Linked DNA regions of Cricetulus griseus. The protein of the gene in region 2 purifies or fractionates together with the protein of the main gene of each other region. This does not show direct contact. Links are inferred from orthologs where the notes say so. Each region holds a gene or a part of one and is shown on either strand. Other genes may lie near its edges. The genes, in order: Ube2b and Ubr2.

Region 1 (7,633 bases), on a different chromosome or scaffold from region 2:
TCTATGCACCCAGGAGGATGCTTAGAGCTAGTGTTGAGTTGTGTGTGGACTGCTGACACACACATTTGTAAAGGATACAGGCCATGCATCTTTTTGACCCAACTAAAAGCAATTCCCCAGCCATCCTATGAGCAGAAGAAACATTAAAACTTCACTAAGGTTTTTTTCTTCAAAGCTATAGTAGCGATGTGAATTTACTAAAAATGACACATGCGTTCAATTATCTCTTCTTCCCTCAAAGGATAGAGGGTAATCCTTTCAATCACATGACTTCTGGCATCTTTGCTCTGTCACACACTGGGACAGAAAATTATTGGATAGTAGCTCATTTTCTCTCTAGATGGGAACTAAGCATAATCCTGGCACAAGTCTCTTTCCTGACAATTCTGCACAACCTCTACAGCTCCGGCTACTGGATTTCTATTTACACATTAAGCCCATGACACATCCCATGGCTGGACACAACAGAAAGGACTGTGAACCACACGGTCTACTCCCCAAATTAGGAAAATTGAAAGACGTCAAAGCACCCCAGGGCTAGGTAGTACAGCTCGCTGACAGAACACTTACCAAGCATGCCTGGGGCTTTTGACTCCTAGTACCTCAAAATTTGGGCCCAAATGTTTCTTTATAGAGGAAGGGTCTCTGTGTAGCTCTTGCCTTGGCCTCCCAAATAGTGAGCTATATACATGAAACATACCACATGTATTTTACCTGTGTGCTTTTAAATCTTTTATCTGTGAGTGCTGGTGCCCACCCATGGGTCAGAAGCTTCAGGTCCCCTGGAGTTAGAGGTGAGCTACCTGATGTGGGTGCTGGGAACTGAACTCAAGTCCTTGCCAAGAGCAGTGTGTGGTCATAATTAACACTGTGCTATCTCTCCAGCCTCCAGTGTTATTCCCATGACTAGGCAATAGGAACTAGGTATATGCTCATCAGTATAGTGCTTACCTGGCACTCACAAGGACCTTGGTTCAATCCTCAGTTCTACCAGAAAATAACAAAACAGACCATTAGTAATCAGAGCATCACTCTTAGCTTTCATTACTGTCCACCTATGAATTTTAGATCAGTCTTCAGACCTTAAATTACATTGATTTTGTGTTTACATATATGAGAGCACATGTGCTAAGCTGTGGTGAGAGGTCAGAGGACCATAAGTTATGGGAATCAGTTCTCTGCTTCCATGGGGTCCTGAACCTTCACATGCTGAGTCATCTCTCAGTCAGGTTCTCAAAGTTATTTACATTAATGGAACCATTTTGTTGTGAAGGGGGCTAGGCCCATGGAGTTCTAGACTCAAGGGTATTTCCTGGAAGGCGAAAACGGTTTACTGAGAAATTGGTCCTTTATATAGAGACTAAAGAATTTTCTATATCCAGACTTCTTGATGAGGGTTATGTGTGTCAAGATGGAAAATGATAAGAAAACCTTCCCAATGGATAGTCTCTGTGTAACTGTCAGTATTACTCCAAAAGTGAAATTCCCCTGAATATTATTCACCAAGAGTCAGACTACTCCAAAGCCAGCTCATGTCCAGCTGGTTGACCTGAGACACCTCATCTCTGTGTACTTAGTTCCCTAATTTGTAATGAAACTTGAAGTGAGCTGGGCAGTGGTGGCACACACCAGCACTTGGGAGGCAGACACAGGTGAATCTCTGAGTTTGAGGCCAGCCTGGTCTACAGAGCGAGTGCCAGGACAGGCTCCAAAGCTACAGAGAAACCCTGTCTCAAAAAACCAACCAACCAACCAACCAACCAACCAACCAACCAACCAACCAACCAACCAACCAACCCCAAAAACCCACTGCTGGGAAAAGTACCAGTGGGCTGCTTTCTGCTAGCCATTACTGAGGAACTGCATCACAAGTGCATCTAAACCCTAATGCAAATTTACCTCAGTATCAGTTCTAGCTTCTTGCTGTACAAATGTATCTAGAGAATAAAAATGAACATTTTGTATGGTAAAAACTTATCAGCTGGGCCATGGTGGCATACGCCTTTGATCCCAGCACTCGGCAGGTGGATCTCTGTGAGCTCAAGGCCAGCCTGATCTACAGAGCAAGTTCCAGGACAAGCTCCAAAGCTACACAGAGATACCCTGTCTCAAAAAACCAAAACCAAAAAAGAATAAATTCAGTGCTGACACAGTTATCAAAGACAGTGTTTAGCTAAATAGGAGAGTCCCTCACAGGTATTGCTTATTTACTGTCTGGGTCATTAGAGAAAGAATGTTTTAGAGCTAAATGATAGAGGCATCACTTGTGGGTCTCACTATGTAGCCCTGATTGGCCTGGAACTCACTACATAGACCAGGCTCAAACCCATGATCCTCCACAGGCTCCTGAGGATTATGTGCCACCATGTTCTACTTAAAAAGCTTGATTTTTTTTTTTTTTAAACTATGTGTCTGTGTATGTGAGTGCTAGTGTCTGAGGAGGCCAGAAGCTTTGGATCCCCCTGGAGCTGGAGTTACAGGGGCCTGTGAGCTGTGGATGCAGAAAAACGAGCTTGGGTTCTTGTAGAAATAGTACACACTATTAACCACTGAACCATCTCTCCAGTTCATCGGAGTAATACTTCTAAGGGTACCAGCGCTTATCCATCCCAGTTTTAAACTTTGCTCGTAACAGAAGACATAGTCATTCCGCAACCCAATTTTCCAACAAAGGGACTACCAGAGCCCATCTCTAGAAGGCTGGTATGGATGACAAGAAACTCAGGCTCACTGCAATAGCTGTTTCAACTACTAGAGAGACTACACAAGTGGTTCAACAGAATTTACTTGTATATTTTCCATTTTCTATACTATTTGAAGGCATAGGATAGCTTTGTATTAGCTTTCTACAATACTGTGTTTTAAATCTATCCAGTAAACTAAGATGCAGTACAACTTGTATACAACTGAGGAGGTGAGAAGCAACTCGGCAGGCCCTGGTGCTCAACAGTTTCAGAATAAACAGGTAGCGTGCAGCTGCATTAAAAGGTAGTTTGCAAATATTCAAGTTACACCAAGATTCCTTCCAAATCTCTGCCATGCTCAAACCAACACAACCGGCCATTGCTAATACTGCGGCACGGCGTTTGGTAAATGGTGATGGTTTTACTTTCTTCTTAATCAAAAGCCCGTGAAGGTGCTGCCACACAACAGAGTCAATCAGCTCTGCTTGTGGCCGAGGTGCCAATTGTGAAGTCACAATAGGTACAGTTTAACATGAGAAATGCACGTTAACAAGTGGCCCAAATACAGAGCTGGACAGAATCAGACCAGTAAGTCTATAATTACTCAACTGAACTAACATAAGTACATTCAAAATAAAGCCGGAGATCAGAATTGGTTTTAGACTCAAATTTGCAGACTTTCTTGATAAAATAGAAGTATGATCTTCTGCAGTTGGAAATGAAGCTCTCAACTGGTGGAGAGCTAGAGACTTCTCAGTCCCTCCTGCACAGATAAGGAAATAAGTGACAAAGTCTCTTGCACTGAAGTTATGTATTTTAACAGCTTTACATGTAATATTCATATATAAAAAACTTTAAGTGCTTTTCTCCAATTTAAAAATCTAAAGAATTCAAAAATAAGGCATTCAATATTTGAAAAAAGTACAGATTTACAAAATGTGTATATTCTGTCATGAAAACTCCACACCAACATTATACACTTGGAAAAAAATACAAACAGGATATATTACAAATTTATGCAGCAATAACTTAGTTCACACCATGCAATAAAAAGTACATTAATCAAGATACACAAGCTTTTGTAGGTTCTAAACTGAAGGACTTTTTCTTTTTTCTCTGCAGAATCCTTAAAACCCGTGGCACTTAAAACTTGCTAGCCTTTCTACTGGGAGGTAAATTATACACAACAACGATGAAAAGATGAACAGACCAGGTGTCTATTATGAATCATTCCAGCTTTGCTCAACAATGGCCGAAACTCTCTTCTCATACTCCCGTTTGTTTTCCTGATAAAGCTGTGCTGCTTGGCTATTTGCTGGACTGTTTGGATTTGGTTCATCCAACAGAGACTAAAAGAGAGAAGAAAATGCTTTTCAGTTATATGTCTATTAATAGGGCTCAGATGAGGACAAAAAAATTACTCAAAATGACAGAATTATTTGGAAGTTTCCATGTCATCTTTTAGGTCTCAAAACCTTCAGAAGTGGCACGAAACAGGTTTCTGCTGCTAAAGAACATAAATTTCTAAAACAATTCCCAGTTGCCTTGAGACCTCCCATTTCAAGGAAATCAGCCAAGAACAATATTCATTTGAATATAAGAACTTCCTCACCAGGAAACAAATAGCTTAATTTGGTTAGGCTCTAACACCGGTAAATACCTTAGTAGCTTATTTTTATTGACCTTTTACTGCTACTATCATGTTTTTGGTGTGCTCAGGTCTCCGGCATGCTAGGTAAACCGCCCCCCCCCCCAACAGCAATAATGTTGGGTGAGCCTTGCTCCTTTGATAAATAAAACATCCATGTTCAGCAGGGAGGGAATGAAATAGTAAAGTTGGCCAGAGCGGGAAGGGATGAGCAAAGAGTAATGAGCAACCTAAGGGCAACAGTTGCTCTTCTATGTAGGTATATTCTATGTGGAATATCCCTTTAAACACATGGAACATGGGAACAGCAATGGACTATGGGGGGGGGGGCGACACCACACACAGGGATGGGACAGACAGAGGGTGAGCAGGACAGACAGGTAATGGGGAAGCAGGTATGCACAGGGTCAACGACACAGCATGAAACATCATGACATTCTCTATCTAGAGATGAACCGAACTAACAGTAAAAGACTCACAAAGACGGACATAAATTTTGCTCCCCCCAAATCAGCACAGCCACAACAGCCTCTCCAGACTCACTGGCAAACTGTTACTGTCCCTCTTTACAGACTTTCCTCAGTGAAAAAAAGAGGTCACAGTTCTTTGACCGGGCAGTTCCTAGAGGTCCCTAAGCAATCTTAACTTCTCAAGATACTACGAGGACATGAGTAAGTCTGACCTGTGAGAATGTGTAGCACATGACTAACAGGTTGTGACTAGGCATGGTGGCACATAGGACTGTATCTATAGCATCGGAAGAGAGGCAGGAGAATCAGAGGTTAAAAGTCATCCATGGGACAGACTAGGCAACAATAGACACCACCACCAGAGGAAACAAGTTTGTGGATTAGACCTTAGATGTCAACTAACAGAACAGCCCAGGGTTCCTGTCTGTGTGCTGCGTTAGTTCCAGGGCACTGGCTGGCAGTTTGTTTCCTTGGTTGTTAAGACTGCTCCTCTAAGTGACTGGTCATGTCCCACAGAATGCGGAGAAGTTGTGATGCTTCTGAACACACACGTACCTGAATTGAAGTTAAGATGGAAGAGACATCATATGTGGGACTCCATCGATTCTGCAGGATATCTAAACATATGCTACCATCAGCATACACTGCAAAGACAACACTGAAGTTAGTTACCACTGCCTCACAACCTAGTTAAGAGAGTATGTCAGCACACAATACCTGACCAAGTAACAGTTCTGAATGTCAGGTAGTAAACTAAACCCTGCCATCTCACTGGAAAACTTGTTCTGAAAAGTCATGTTGGTCTCACTTCAGAAGTCCCAGGGAGAGACTTTTCAAAGCACAACATATATTAATTACTCCATTTTGGGTTCAAGGTTGTAGCTCTGTGGTAGAGTGCCTGTTTCGCACAACACAAAACTACACCACTCTTTTTTTTTTTAATTAGTTCAAGTTAGGGAACAAGCTTGTTTCACATGTAAGTCCCTTCTCCCCTTCCCTCCCCTTACTCCCATCCTCCCCCTCACCCCCTACACCACTCTTCTTAAGTCTCAAACACAACTCTTAAAAAAATGATGACACATTCAAGGTACACTACTAATGTAGTCATCATAAACGCCATCTATTGTGTTTCTCATGAAAATAAGGGATTTTTGTTTGTAGCAGGTTCTTACTATGCAGCTCTGGCTGTCCTAGAACTATGTATATCAAGCTGGTCTCGAACTCACAGAGATTTGCCTGCCTCTGCCTCCCAAATGCTGGGATTAAAGGTGTACGCCACCACTGCCTGGCTCCATATTTTCGTTTTTTTAAAAAGCACGTAAGTACTTTCACTTTAAGTAAATAACAAATATTTGCAAAATTATGTCAAAATATTAACAGTAAGACTTGACAGCTGACCTTTAATCCATCCTTGTAATATACTCCATGCCCCAACCTCTGGTCACACACAAGTAGAAGAAAAAGGCAGAAGTTAACATGCACTGAAACTTTTGACTACCTGGGACATACTTTGTACCCTCTTAGACCAATGTTACAGACATTGCCAATGCACAGAACTTCATTTGTTTAGTAGTCTCATGTAGCCCAGGTATGCTATGGAGCACAGAACAGCAATGAGCTTCTGATCCTCCTGCCTCTCTCTACCTCTAAGTAAGTGTTGGGCTTATAAACATGCTCCATTACTTCTGGCAATATTGCCAAACTGAAAAACCCAGAACCACGATATCCTCCATGGCAACAGGGTTAAAGAGTGGGCGTTTGAGCCTTTGCTCAGGGCTCCATCCTAGGGTTTCTTTTCTTTCTATTCCCATTATTGATCTCTGTGCAATCATATCCATCCTCCTGGCCTCACCTTGTTCTCTGTGTGCTCAGTATTACTAATTGAATAGTAGAAGTCAGCCACTTCTCATCTGTCCGAGGATCAAATGTCACATCCCAAGCCAGAAAATAAAAAAGCAATTGAAAATATTCAAGTTTTGAACTAGTTTTGAAATGCAAAAGGAAAGTTGAATCCAAATGGCCATCAATTGATCAAAAGGAAAACAGAAGATATCTAAATAATAAAACATTAGACTGTTACCTCCCAAGAGAAATGGAAACTGGCCATTTTGATGGTTTAACTGTGTCTGACTACACCAAAACTCCACTGAATTGTGTAATTAAAATGGACAAATAGGCTGAATGTGGTGTTTCATGCCTTTAATTCCAGCACTTGGGAGGCAGAGGCGGGTGGATTCTGAGTTCAAGACCAGCCTGATCTACAAAGCAAGTTCCAGGACAGCCAGGGCTACACAGAGAAACCCTGCCTTAGAAACCCAAGTAAATAAATAATAAATACAAAGAAAGAAATAAAATGAACAAGTAGAATGGTATACACATTGTATACCCCTATGTTTGTATGTTTGTATGTATCTATCAATCAAACAACCCAGGATTGAGGATGTAGCCCAGTCTGTAGAGGGTTTGCCCACTGGGTAAACTTGGAGTTTGATCCCTAGTGTCACATAAACTGGGTGTGGTGGCATCTGTACATAAGCACAAAGAGATGAAACCAGGAGATCCTGTGTTCAAAGTCATCCTTGAATATATACCAAAATGAAGGCCAGCCTGGCTATATGATCCCATCATTTAGCTTTTTATTTATTTGAGCAAGCACACATGTACTTGGGTGCTCAAGTAACATGTGTAGAGGTCAGAAGACTACCTATAGGAATTGGTTCCATCATTGGAGTCCCGGGGATTGAACCCAGGCTATCAGAATTAATGGCAAGGTACCTTTACCTACTGAGCCATTTTGAAGACCCTAAAATCTTTATTTTTATTTTGGGAGA
Region 2 (7,115 bases):
ATGACTTTTTCACAGGGGACAAATATCCTGATATCAGATATTTACAATACGCACATAACAGTAGCAAAATTACAGTTATGAAGTAGCGATGAGAAAATTTGGTTTGGGGTCCCCACAACATGAGGAACTGTATTAAAGGATTGCAGCATTAGGAAGGGAGAACCACTGGTGTAGAGATTTACTCTGGTCAGCGCCTGCTGCTCCACAGTGTAAACAGCTGCTGTGTCCCTGTCTCCCTAACAAATGATCACAATGTCTAAATCCAGACTACTCGGCTTGTCCACCAGGTCTCAGACTTCTTTCTAATTTCCACCTTTCCCTTAGACCCACCAAACTCTTAGTCACCGGGTTCTCAACCAGATTAGCCTGCCTTCTTGTGCCCAGGAGCCTGTTACAAAGTCCAACTCGGGGTCCAGAACCAGGCTGCTTGGCACCACTGCTCCTTCTCTGTGTGACTGAGCAGATTCCTTAGCCTGCCTCTGCCTCGTTCCCTTCACTGTAGGGGGGCGGAGGTTTCAGTTTGGTCAGGGCGAGGGGACATAAGAATGTAATACATGTGGAATCTGCCTGTTGTGTCCTGAGTGGCCTGGAAGACCTAATTTGGGGAAGGCCTCAGGCCTCTGCTTGCTGTGCTTCCACTGGTCCTTTTGTTAAGATGCCCGTACTCTCCATAATCTTTCTGATGCCTTTTCTGTGACCCTATGCTGGATATTGAACTCGGGGCCTAGGAATACCAGGCATGTATCTGACCACCGAGCTGTGTATCTCCGGCCCTATTTTCACATTTCCAATTCAGTAATACCTTATTGTCAGATAAGATCATTTGGGGGGGTGGTCAATCAATGGTCCGCTTTTGCATTGTGTGTGTCTTCTAAATAATACTCTGTATATTGTAAGGACTTCCATCCTGTAGCAGTTGGTCTCCTGTAGTGCACAGCTCCTTGTCTTCCTAAGCTTGCTTCTGTGTCTGTTGTGGTTGTTCCTCAGTGGTGCGGTGGTTCTGACCAGGCCTGGCGCTTGCTTTTCCACACTCTCAGACCTGTCAGATATCATCTGTCCTTGAGGCCTTGCTCCAGCACATAGCCCCAGCCTTCTGCACCAGTCAGGACAGGGCACAGCTATCCTTGCAATTGTCCATGGCTGTGTTCCTTTGTTTGTTTGTTTTGTTGGTTTTTAAGACAGGGTCTCACAGTGTAGCCCTGGCTGGTTACATACTCATAGTGGCATCTCACCTTTGGGAGTGGCCATGCACTACCATGTGGGGTTCTGTGTATCTTTGAGGGGGAAAAAAAGATGTCATTCCGACTCCCATTCTTTGCCATATAACTAGTCTGAATTCTTGGCATCTTCCCTTGTCTGGAATGTTCTGATGTCCCTTCGTTTTATGTGACTTCTTTGTCATTGGGCAGTTTTTGCAACACTTCCCATCTGGTGTCTTTCGCTGCTGAGTTTCTATGTGGTGTCTTGAGTTTGTCCCTTGGGGGCTTCTGTTCTTTGATGTGGTCTTCTGTTTGCTTATATTGGCCTTCTTAGACACCCTAGTCTCAACAGGTTTTGGTTTGGCTTCTCCTGCCCACCAGCTCATCTACTCTAGGAACTGAACTCAAAGTGTTGCTCACATACTCTAACTAAGCTATTTCCAAGTCCATGTTTAATTTCTACTCACTAACTTAAGTGAATGTTTATGACACTTTCCTTCTGTCTGGTCCTTGGGTAGCCACTAAACAGTAAGCTGTAGACATTCGGGTCTACAGCTGGGCAGGTCAGAGCTTTCTGAGTCTCACAGCAAGGTCAGTAGTCACCACCAGCTTTTGACCCAGAGACTCCAGATGTCAGTGTGTGGGACAGCTTTTCTCCAAGGTTCTGTCCTGGAAACACCAATGTCTGGCTGTGGGGGAACATCCTGAGGTCAGCCAGAAGTTCCATGGTTCCGACAGTAGGTGGACCTGGTTGCCTGCCTTGGGCCCTGAGTCTTCCCTCTGCTCATGCACAGAACATAACTCCCCTCAGCCAGGCAATGGCACACAGCCATCTCTGGAGATGTTTAATGGTTTGATTGCAGCACAGGACAGAGCGGCTGAGAGATGGAGCCATTTTATCCATGTGTGCAACTTTTGAACTAAACCTGTGCATCTTTACACAGGAACCCATATTCTGATAGTATAAAAGAAATGCTAACAACATTCGGAACAGCTACTTACAAGGTGGGACTGAAGGTTCATCCCAATGAGGAGGACCCCCGTGTGCCCATCATGTGCTGGGGGAGCTGCGCATACACCATCCAGAGCATAGGTAAGACACTCACCGAGGTGGTGATTAGAAATGTGATTAGAGCTGGGTGTGGTGGCACACTCCTTAATCCCAAGGCAGAGGCAGGCAGATTTCTGAGTTTGAAGCCAGCCTGGTTTATTGAGTTCTAGGCCAGCCAGGGCTTCAAACTGAAACCCCTACTGTGAAAAACAAAAACAGGCTGCAGTAGTGCCACTAATCCTAGCACTAAAGAGGCAGGGGCAAATAGATCTCTGTGAGTTCCAGGACAGCCAGGGCTACACAGAGAAACCCTATCTTGAAAAAAAGCAAAACAAGAAAAAAGAATGTTGTTTAGAAGATGCAGCTTTCTAGGGACCAGGCACAGATGTGGTACACAGACAGACAAACATTCATCCTCAGTCTTTTTTTAATGATGTTTAGTGTAAGGAAGTATAAAGGAGAAATAAAAGAAAATAGCAAAGAATTGTATACCAGGAAAATGCTGGTTTGTTTCACAATTTGTAAATAAATACAGCAACAGAAAACAAATTTAGGTGGTGGTTATGGGAACTTCTAGTTGAGGGACCCAGTAGGGTTTTTTTCCTAATTTTATGTGTATGGTTATTTGCCTGCATGTATGTTTGTACTATGTGTGACCCTGGCGCTTGCAGAGGCCAGAATTGGGCATCAGATCCCCTAGAACTAGAGTTACAGATAGTTGTGAGCTACCAAGTGGGTGCTGGGAACCAAACCCAAGTCCTCTGCAAGAACAGCAACTGCAATGGACAGTGGTGACATGCCTTTTATCCCAACACTTGTAAGTCAGTGGCAGGCAGATCTCTGGTCTACAGAGTAAATTCTTTTTCTTTTATCCAAAGTGAGTTCTTGCAAAATGACTTAAAGATGGTAATACCTAGCTGGGCAGAGTGGTACCTTTAATCACAGCTCTCAGAGATAGGCTGATCTCTGAGTTTGAGGACAGCCAGGGCTACACAAAGAAACACTGTCTCAAAAAACAAAAACAAAAAAATGCTAAAACCTGAAAAAATTGCATTCTCTTCAGAAATAATAGAACTTATTAAAAAATGTACAAAGAAAGTTAACTTTTAAGAAAATAACAAAATATACATGGCATTCAATTTACCTTCTTCACCATCTTTAATCTTTAGAAAGAATTTTGAGTGATGAAGAGAAGCCCCTGTTCGGACCTCTGCCTTGTAGACTGGTAAGAGCACTCATTCCTCTCAGTAGTGCCTGTTTTCTTTAAAAATGCAAAAGAACTTGTTTTGGGGGCTAGTGGTACTTGCTTCTTGTTTGTTCCATTGTTTATTTATAGAAGGCCCTGCTCTTTTCTCTGGTAACTGTAAGGACTTCTTTATTTCAGGACGACTGTCTCAGGTCTTTAACACGGTTTGCAGCAGCACATTGGACAGTGGCATCACTTCCTGTGGTGCAAGGACACTTCTGTAAACTCTTTGCGTGTAAGTGTCCCGTGTCTGTGACCATCTGTTCTGACATGGTCTTTGGAAATTTTCTTGATAGGAGTCTGATGGCTCCATTACAGTGAGTGTTTTCTCTAATGTGTCTTCTTCCATCTCTAGCCTTGGTGCCTAATGACAGCTATGAAGACCTCCCGTGTATATTAGACATCGACATGTTTCATTTACTGGTGAGTGTTTACAATTAGCTTTGCATCCTCTTCACCACACTGGACTTGATGAGTCAGTAGCCAGGAAGACCAAGAGGAGGCAGTGTCACCATGGATTTCTACACATCCACATCTAGTTAGGTTCTGAGGAAACTTGGTGTGGATGTCTGGTTGTCCTTCCTCTCTTGTTTGGCTTTGTGGCTGAGATCTGTAATAGAACTGTCTGCTTTTGACCCACTAAGAGGTCAAATAACGATGGCTGCATCAGTGATGCTGACATCTCACAGTCCGTTTAGTTGTTTTGTGAATTGTAGGAAATCTGAACGGATCCAGCCTGCAGTCACAAATACTTGATGGCAGACCTGCCTCTCTCTCCTATTTTGTACTTTTTATTTTTTAAGAAAGATTGTATTTATTTATTATGTATACAACATTCTGCTTCCATGTATATCTGCACACCAGAAGAGGGCACCAGATCTCATAACGGATGGTTGTGAGCCACCATGTGGTTGCTGGGAATTGAACTCAGGACCTCTGGAAGAACAGCCAGTGCTCTTAACCTCTGAGCCATGTCTCCAGCCCCCCCCGCCCCCTGGTTTAAAATAGGGTATATTCGTTGTATGAAATAGTAGCTTTTCCTATGAAATTTGATCATATTCACCACCACTTCCCTCTGTTGTCCCTACTACTTCCTGGGCCCCTCATTTTCCTTTTTCCTTTTTATCTTTTTCTTTCTTTCTTTTTTTTTTTTTTTAAATCTAGATACCACAGATGAAAACATGCTTTATTTGTCTTTCTGGTCCGACATACTTCATTTAGTATGATACCTGGTTCCGTCCCTTTCCTTATTTGTAGCATCACTTCATTCTTAATGACTGAATAATACTGCCTTGTGTGTTTTCTTTTTTTACTTTTACATATATAATATATATTTCTTTGGTGGGTGTATACCACAAGCTCAAACATGGAGGTCATGTTCTCTGATCTCCACACCCTTGGGTGCATACACAAAAAAATAAATGTTAAGAAAATAAAGGGATTTCACATACATCATTACCCCATGGTCTGTTTGTAGGGAATCCACTGGATAAATGAAATGATAGTGACTGACTCTCTAGGCCCCTTCAGCTCCAGTTCATTGAGCCAGTTCTAGTGGGTTTTCAGACATTGCCCTTCTTCCCTTTTAAGTTTAAAGGGAGGGCTAAACTGGGAAAAGATCCCAAAAGAGCACAGATGTGTAGCCATGAAGAGAGGCCTATGCTGATTATCTGTTTTGTGTCTAGGTGGGCCTGGTGCTTGCGTTCCCGGCTCTGCAGTGTCAGGATTTTTCAGGAAGCAGCGTCGGCACTGGAGACCTGCACATTTTTCATCTGGTTACCATGGCACACATTGTACAGATCTTACTTACCTCATGTACAGGTTTGTCAGCTTCTTGAACTTGCGTTTTTCAGTTTAAAACAAACATGTTTGGGAGAGAGCAGTATATAAATCACAGTCAGGTTACTTGCTCTTTCTGTTTGCCTTCCTGTAAAAACTTTTAGGTTTCTTTCTCTTGTGAAACTCCCCTGTAGTATGAATGTTTTGCTTTTTTCAGTTTAGTTCATTAATCTGTGAATGGCATAAATTAAGCCCCACTGAATGTTGTTTCAGAATGCCAGTTTTGTTTTAACTCACATGTTTCGTTAGTATCCCAGCAAGTTCATTCTTAAGCTATGTTTCCATTCAAGCATCCTGTTACTCAAACATTGCAAGACAGTGTGTTAGTTCTTAGTCCCCACTGGATGGTGGCTGCCTGACAGTGTGTTAGTTCATAGTCCCCACTGGATGGTGGCTGCATGATGGTGTGTTAGCTATAGTCCCCACTGGATAGTGGCTGCACGACAGTGTTAATTATAGTCCCCACTGGATGGTGCCTGCAAGACAGTATATCGGTTAATACTGTCCACAGTGTGATGGTTGGCTCAGTGGTCAGATGGAGAACAGTACTGTGTGCACACTTGGAAATTTAAATCCTAGTTACTTATAAGAGTATTTCCTGTTGTATATGAGTGTGTGAATATGTTTGGGTGCTTGGCTCGTGTACTTACAAGCCTTTTGAGCCACACAAAGGAATGGAGACCCCTACTATGTCTCTGTCTTTCAGAAGAGAATGGCATGGATCAAGAAAATCCCACTGGGGAAGAAGAATTAGCTGTTCTGTCTTTGCACAAAACACTTCACCAGTGTACTGGAAGGTGAGACCCCAGTCTTCCATGGGAGGTACTTCCCACGTGCCCGTGGGAGAAATTGCTGTATATTGCTGTGTTAAAAATCTAGGAGTGACTGCTCATATCCTTGACACAACTGAGTCTCAGAGAGGGATAGTCATGTCTGGAGCCTCACGTTTACTTGGTGGTAAGCCCTACAGTTGCTCAGTCAGATGCCAACTAGTAGGCGGTTGCACTCTGAAGATGCTCTCCTAAAATATGAGTTATCTTCTCAGCAATTTCAAAATGTAAATTGGAAGCCAGGTGGTAGGTGGCGCATGCCTTTAATCCCAGCACTCGGGAGGCAGAGGCAGAGGCAGGCGGATCTCTGTGAGTTTTAGGCCAGCCTGGTCTACAGTGCTACACAGAGAAACCCTGTCTCGGAAAAAAAAAAATCAAATGCAAATCGGATTAGCATAGTGTGTTTGCAAGATGATCCGGGAGAGACTGAAACACAGTGAGATTACTTGAACAGCACATACTGGTGTCACTGTGCCTTGAAATAGCAGTCTCACTTAGATCCTAGTAATGTGTATTGGGGCCTTGGGAATGTTTGTGCTGGGCTGGAGAGATGGTGCCAGCAGGAAAGTGCTGGATGCGTGAATTCGATGGGCTGGGTAAAAAGCCCTGTGGGTGGTGGAGACAGGAGGGTCACTGGGACTTGCTGGCCTCCAGCACAACTTCAGCATCAGGAAAAGACCCTGCTTTAAAGGAGTAAGTGGAGAGTGGTGGAGAGCAGGCACCCAGTGTCCTCTTCTGGCCTCTGAGTACACACACACACACACACACACACACACACACACTTAAATACACCATCTGTGTATATACACACATTATAGAAAAGGTCTTTGAATTATCCCATTTGAAAGCCCACTTGAATGAAGTAATATAACGTACAGAAGAACTTACAGGGATTTACAGATACACCCTGGTGTTATTTATGCCAGCAAGGAGCTGAAAGTGATCCAGAT

The links.
Region 1: the proteins of Ubr2 (region 2) and Ube2b purify together in Homo sapiens (affinity purification with western blotting; 3 studies listed by BioGRID, with this or other methods). This does not show direct contact. The link is inferred for Cricetulus griseus from reciprocal best matches to the Homo sapiens genes UBR2 and UBE2B.

Annotation. Positions count from the first base shown.
Region 1 is NC_048600.1:66,251,223-66,258,855, forward strand, and holds the end of Ube2b (ubiquitin-conjugating enzyme E2 B), read right to left. Parts: intron 5,447-7,633; coding exon 5,358-5,446; intron 4,034-5,357; coding exon 3,905-4,033; 3' UTR 2,768-3,904; downstream 1-2,767. UniProt on the Homo sapiens protein: E2 ubiquitin-conjugating enzyme that accepts ubiquitin from the ubiquitin-activating enzyme E1 and transfers it to a E3 ubiquitin-protein ligase. In vitro catalyzes 'Lys-11'-, as well as 'Lys-48'- and 'Lys-63'-linked polyubiquitination.
Region 2 is NW_023276806.1:256,332,903-256,340,017, reverse strand, and holds part of Ubr2 (E3 ubiquitin-protein ligase UBR2), read left to right. Parts: intron 1-2,143; coding exon 2,144-2,292; intron 2,293-3,419; coding exon 3,420-3,475; intron 3,476-3,634; coding exon 3,635-3,731; intron 3,732-3,851; coding exon 3,852-3,919; intron 3,920-5,181; coding exon 5,182-5,317; intron 5,318-6,041; coding exon 6,042-6,132; intron 6,133-7,115. UniProt on the Homo sapiens protein: E3 ubiquitin-protein ligase which is a component of the N-end rule pathway.